2 linked regions of the Xenopus tropicalis genome follow. The protein of the gene in region 2 interacts with the protein of the main gene of each other region in a pairwise test. Links are inferred from orthologs where the notes say so. Each region holds a gene or a part of one and is shown on either strand. Other genes may lie near its edges.

What was found. The genes of interacting proteins can lie anywhere in the genome.
Region 1: the proteins of xpo7 (region 2) and uso1 interact in binary tests that used the Homo sapiens proteins (3 or more experiments, as listed by UniProt). The two-hybrid records come from large-scale screens. The link is inferred for Xenopus tropicalis from reciprocal best matches to the Homo sapiens genes XPO7 and USO1.

Annotation. Positions count from the first base shown.
Region 1 is NC_030677.2:79,457,724-79,461,242, reverse strand, and holds part of uso1 (general vesicular transport factor p115), read right to left. Parts: intron 2,990-3,519; coding exon 2,903-2,989; intron 1,936-2,902; coding exon 1,871-1,935; intron 1,185-1,870; coding exon 1,111-1,184; intron 1-1,110. UniProt on the Homo sapiens protein: General vesicular transport factor required for intercisternal transport in the Golgi stack; it is required for transcytotic fusion and/or subsequent binding of the vesicles to the target membrane.
Region 2 is NC_030679.2:129,471,548-129,475,066, forward strand, and holds part of xpo7 (exportin-7), read left to right. Parts: intron 1-329; coding exon 330-476; intron 477-1,824; coding exon 1,825-1,918; intron 1,919-3,519.

The sequences.
Region 1 (3,519 bases), on a different chromosome or scaffold from region 2:
ACTGAAAACAAATCGACCATAGTTTGTATAAATGTAAGAGGGACTTAATAGAGTGTTTACTAAAATTGGCAATTAATACAATTGATGTTTCCCATAGCAATCAATCAACAATTAGATTTAAACAGTCACCTATATGTTAGAAAACAAAAGTATATCACCAACGATATTTGTCGTCAATGTTAGTAAACATGGCCCTGGGAGGGGAATTGAAGTGAATAATATTCTCTGTAAAATGCTGTAGAATATGTTTATATGTAAGTTAATGATAATATTAATTGACTTTGATATCTTAGATATCCCTGGACCTACAGGATAGAGTTGTTTTCTATATCTATCACCCTGTTATGAGCTAAGGGGGCCCGACATTTTTTACCACAAAGGGAAGCCTAAGCACTTTTGGCTTAAAATGATTCTATTTTGAGAATGACAATTCACTCTATAAAGCATGAGGAACACGTTTTAGTTCCCAACCCTTAGTTTAGGAAGTCCTATTTTAAAGGATGGCTATAATAAAGCAGAATAAAGATAAACTCAATAACCCATGAGAAATTGTGCAGAAAATAAACTAGATTTTAAGGTGATCTAGACATAGGTGACTAGACTGGATAGAAGCTCATGGTTAGTGTGGTATGTACACCAAATTAAGCATGATCTGCTATCACCACAATGCAAGAAATACCCTTGTGTCAACTTTTTAAAGAATGTACGGTATCCTTCTAATAAATATACATATTAAATACTTGGGAAAAAATAATAATCTGCCTTTTATTATAACAGGAGGAATAGTGATGCATTTTGTAACTGGGAACTTCCTAGGGAAAATTCCTGCTTCTGGCAGACACACTTGTCCTATAATAGTGTAGAGCATTTGACATTCTATTTTGTGCCAATATTTTCCTAACCAAAATTCCTAAAGCGAGGATAGATAATACAATGCATATCTGGTTACATAACAGACAGGCGCTTTCTGTTAACTGCCCAGTATTATTCAAGTGCTTTGGATAAAGACAAATCAATGTGAAATAAGAATAGCTAAACAAAAAAGGTGCAACATATGTAAGATATAGAAACACCACATGAGGACTATACTAAAAAGAATAAAGTTCTTACCTGTTTCATCTGCGTCATTTGACATTATATTGTATAAAGTGTCCAAAGCATAACCAATTATTTCCGAGTCGGAACTGAAAGTAAAACATTAAGGTCAGATAAGTCTAACCAGAAAGAGTTTTTGCTAATTTCCTTCTTACTAAACACAAATAGAATAATTTCCCCCCAAAAAATGTTCTTGTACAAGTACATCCTTTCCTTGATTCTAGCTACACTAATATAACAATGTATTAAAAACCTATAGAAAAATATCTCTACATTCCCAAAGGGCTTGTTTTTAACATATAAGTGGGTCATTACAACCTACATGTACAGCTGCAGCCAAAAATAGTGCTGAGGTCCTTGTATCCAAAGCAGCTCCTGGAAGTGCCAATTGCATAGCACCTATTAGTTTGTTTTGAAGATTGTATGCAAGTGCTCTATTCATGAATAAAAGTTTTGGCCAGTAAATAAGATGATAGCAAAAGTCCGTTGCTATGGTTAAATTGGTTAATGAACCAAGCCACATTTTGCCAAGCTAGAGTTTGGCATGTGATCTGGTCACTTGGCATGGCATGACACTAATTTGCAGACCCGGGCACTTCAAGCAATTAACTCTCACCAATGCCAAAAACACACATAGGCAAAAGACACTTTTCAGTCTGGACAGACCTGCAACAATAGACTGATATACACTGTCCAAAAACTGGGGACTAGGTTAATATATTAAAACACCTTGTTTAGCCATATTTCCTTTATTCTGAGATGACTGATAGCTTACCGGTCTGTCTGTAGAACATTAATAAGATGATCCATAGCTTGAGTGGCCACATCGAAGCGGTATTTCTGGTTGAGGAGAAATAAACAATAACATATATATATATATAATATCTAATGCAGATGTGTTAGATCTGCAACAGACATAAACAGATACAGCAATGATTAAGTTCTGAGGGAAGAGGGACTGCAAAATAGCCAACAGAATAACAGTAACTAATGTCTGTCAAGCCAATTACTACAGATAAATGCTCTAAACTTTATCTACAATGACTCTTCTCACCTATCAACCCAGCTGTCTCCTGAAGAACTCCAGCTGAGGGAGTTCTCAGACAATAATATAAAAACCCATCACAACATCTATATAGAAGACCTGAATGATGTTATGGTGGAAATAGGACAAAAAATTTGCAAAGCACTATATAAACTGCTACAAATAATTACCTATGTTATTAGGTTTGAGACTGTTTTAAGCCAGTATTGCATATGTGTCTCATATAGTCAACGTTTAATTTTTGAAATGTAAGATCTGATAACATATAGATATGAAAATCCTCTTGGCTAATTAATCCAGTAGCATGCATACAAGGACATAGACAGGGGCAAGCCTTTTTGTGTCTCATACATGATCTTAAGTTTGAGTCTGAAATATGGAACCAAGCAAAAGAAATTTATAGGAGACTAGCAAATAGCAACTTAACATTTAAAGAGGTAGTTCACCTTTAAAATAGCAGAGAAATAGTTTTTGGCTGATGGGGTCAGTGACCCTCATTTGAGAGCTAGAAAGGCAGAAGAGGAAGAAGCAGAAAAAGTGAACCACCCCTTTAACAGTTGCCATGGAGAAATAAAGAAACATAAATCTTACAATTTTATGTGCAGAGTGAACTAAAACCTTCAGGAATTAAGTCTTGGATCTTGAGGACCTTAGTGCAAACATGTGTGTGTAAACTGACTGCATTAATCATAAACAGTGCTCACATATATCCAAATTTAGGGTCATAATAACACATCACTGGACAAAAAATATGAGACAAACCTTTGATAAAGATTTGAGGGCTCGTACTGCATCTCTTCGATCATCTAGTAGAGTGGCAGAGGCAACCCTGTCGCACAGCTTCTGGATCTAGAAAAGGATGATTAGATATATATCAGTTTTAACAAAACCAAAGGTATAAAATATGAATCATTTAGACATTTGGCAGTATAAACCATATTTCCTAATTTAACAAATATAAAATTAAATTGGTTTTTGATCCAAAAAGCCTTAAACTAAGCATTGAACTAAAATGTTCATTAAGGCTAAATTTAAACAGGGATTTATTAACAAAGCAAATAGCTACCTCAAAGAGATGAAAATGACTACAGTTGGTCAGAGATTTTGTTGGAAACTAAGCACATTACTACATTACTGACAGTCAAATACCCTAAAATCCAACACCTTACCATACAGACATTTACAATACTTTCCAAGCTAACTTACCTGCAGCGAGTCACTCACTATAGTTTACATATATACTTCAATACGAAATTAAGAGCGCAAAAAATTGCCCAGGCATTGTAACCCATAGCAACCAATAAGATCAATGCTTTTAAACAGGTGTCCAGTGAATGCTACATGGTGATTGGTAGGCATAGGTGATTTGACCAGTTTTA
Region 2 (3,519 bases):
GTGGTTGTTTTTCTGTGACCTGACCAGACAATAACATAGTTCAGATTATGTGTTATCATTGTTGTGTTTTGAGTAAATATCAAACATTTTGCTTGGGAAGAAACTAACTAGCAGAGATATAAACACACAGTAGAGTGTTAGTATTGGCATTAGGCAAGTTTGCTTCCATTTTCACCATGTGACTGTCATGAGTAGGTCTGACTCTGCTTTCATTGGATCATGTGCTTCTGATGGCAGTTTCTCTTTCCCACAAACATGTTATTTTGGCTTGAGGAATTAAAATGGTGGATTTTCTGACTAAATGTAATCCTTTCTGTTTTTATTTGTAGAGTCTAGCTCAGCTAGAGATCCTGTGCAAGCAGCTGTATGAGACTACAGATACCAGCACCCGGCTGCAGGCTGAGAAGGCGCTTGTGGAGTTCACTAACAGCCCGGAGTGTCTAAGCAAATGCCAACTGTTGCTTGAGAGGGGAAGTGTACGTATGGGGCAACTGGGGCTTTTCCTTGGAGTGGGGGTTACAGTTTGTAATAATTCATGTAAGATAGGGAAAGGTAAATGTAGGTTACACAGGGCAGGATAGGAAGGCAAGAGGGCGTATATGTGCACGTGTGGAACTGTGCGGTTATGTCCCGCCAAGCTGCTGCTTGCACTAACTATCTCTCCAATAGCAAGTGGGGCTATTGTGGGTGCTACATTGCTAGCAAGTTGGTCAGAATCTCAATTTAGCATTCCTGTGTAATTGTTTAATGCAGGAATCCCCAAACTTCTTTACCTGTGAGCCACACTCTAATAAAAAAAAATATTTGGGGAGCAACACAAGTGTGAAAATGTTCATGAGGTTTCCAAATAAGGATTGGCTATTTCATAGCCGTGATTGGCTATTTGATAGCCCCTATATGGACTGACAGCCCACAGAAGGCCCTATTTGGCAGTACAACTGGTTTTTATGCAACCAAAACTTGCCTCCAAGCCAGAAATTCAAAAATAAGCCCCTGCTTTGAGGCCACTGGGAGCAACATCCAAGGGGTTGGGGAGCAACATGTTGCTCACAAGTCACTGGTTGGGGATCACTGATTTAATGTATGTGTGTAACATATGGGTGCCTCCTTGAAAGGTATTTCAACCTATTGGTGGGCTTCCTGCACAGAGATGCATAACAGTGCACAAGTAAATGGAGGCACCTAACGAGTTCAAACCCGGACAAGGTGTAGTCAGCTTTGTCTCACTGCAAACTGTTTTTAACAAAACAATTGACTTAAAGGCTGAAATGTGCTGCTTGGCCATCCCAGTGTATGGCCACATTGCGCAACATTTGTAAGGCCCAAATTGTCTGAAAACCTTAAAGGGGCAGTTCACCTATAAGGTAACTTAACGTATGTTATAGAATTCCTGGCAACTTTTAATAGTTTTTGAGTTAGTTGCCTTCCACTTCTGACCAGCTTTCTGACCGCAGCAGCCAAAAAACAATTACTCTTTAAAGCTTTGATTTTATTCTGATTTTGTATTAGTTATCTTTGTATTGAGACCCTCTCCTATTTTTTTTCCAGTTTCTCATTCAAACCACTGTCTGGTTGGTAGGGTGATTTGGACCAAAAACCACAAATAATAAAAAGTGAAGACCATTGCATATTATCTCAGAATAGCAGTCTTTACATCATACTAAAAGTTACAAGAAAGTGGATTTAATGGAGAACATGCATATAACTGTACTATAGTGGTGTAAAGTGTGGAAACAGTTGTCAAAGCTCATATAATGATCTATGGGTTAGTAATATTTTTCACATACAAATACTTATTTTTTTTTTTTTTGCTTCTTTTCTCAGTCCTCATACTCTCAGTTACTGGCCGCCACCTGCCTCACCAAATTGGTGTCACGAAGCACTAACCCCCTCCCTCTGGAGCAAAGGATTGACATCCGTGAGTATCAGCAGCTTGTCATGTGTTTCTTTCTAAGATTCAGTTTCCATATCACTGGGGGGCAGGGACTGAAACAGATGAAATTTAAATGCTTTTGCCTGTACATTATTACATTAGTCTAATAGTTCTAAAAGAGTTCCTTAACAGGTTATTGATACTGGTTCCGTCTATAGATAATTATGTCTATGTGGACCCCCTTATTTTCCTATTTTATTGTCTGCAAGGTGGCATTTTCCCCCCTTTTCCTCATCTTGAGTGCCTGTAGACTCTCTGAATCCAAATAACCTGTAAAGGATGCTACTGCAAACCCCAAAAAATAAATGGTTGCCTAATAAAAGAAATTGTTATTCTAAGCCTCTTCTCCAGTATCCATTCATTACAGATTTTCAGCGCTTATAGTTATTTGTAAATGTATTTGCTATTGAAAGCTGCATTTGCTTAAAGGGGTTGTTCACCTTCAAGTTAACGTTTAGTACGGGAGTCCTCAAACTATGGCTTGCGGGCCAAGGTCATTTACCCGGCCCCTGCTGTGTCCTCACACCTGGCTACTACCTGTCCATCATCATTAACGTTGGCCTGTGTGACATGACACCCTGGGGCCGAGGACCACGCTGAGGCAGACAGTAAGTAGCCAGGGGTGAGGACTCAGCGGGGGGGGGGGGAGGGCCCATAGTTTGAGGACTAGCTATAGTCCGGCCCCCCAGCAGTCTGAGGGACCGTGAACTGGACCCCTAAAAAGTTTGAGGACCCCTGGTTTAGTATGTTATAGAATGGCCTATTCTTAGAAACATTTTAATTGGTCTTACTATAGTTTTATAATTATTTACAACCTTCTTCTTCTGACCCTTTCAAATGGGGATCACTTACACCAGGAGCCCATAAAACAGTTGTTCTGAGAGGCTACCTCATTACTAGGGTCATTTGGACCCAAAGTAACCAGAAAACTGCTAAAATTCCACACTGGAGAGTGGCTGAACATAAAGCTAAATAATTCAAAGACTGCAAAAAATAATAAAAGTAATAAAAAATTAAGACCATTTTCAAATCGTATTAGAATATTACTCTTCTACATCATACAAACAGTTTATTCAAAAGTGAACAACCCCTTTAACTACTGGTTATTACTTTTTAAATAATGTTGCAAAGACAGATCTACAATTGGAAAGAATTTTTTACACCAGCACACCCTTACCTCCTCCAGAGAATTACTACTTGGTGCACAGCCTAGAGTCGGCACTCTCCACACAGTCCGGTCAAAATATTTCAGCCAGCACAACAAGTAAAGTGCAAGCAGGGCTTAGCCTGGCGAAGGGGTACGCCCCCGAAACGTTGCTTTTTGAATAAACGCGCAGGGGCTAAGCCCTGCTTGCACTTTACTTGTGCTGGCTGAAATATTTTGGCAAAGACAGATCTGTCACTCGGCTGCCTTGTGCCACATTGTTTCAAAAGTCAGGGCCACCAGGGCAGAGAATAGAAAGAGACAGACAAACACTGTTATCAATTGTAATTACATATACAAAACATAACTTAAAAACACCTTGAACAATTGTAATGAATGTATATGTGTATAACACAATTGGGTACTTCTCTGCTGGCTTAAA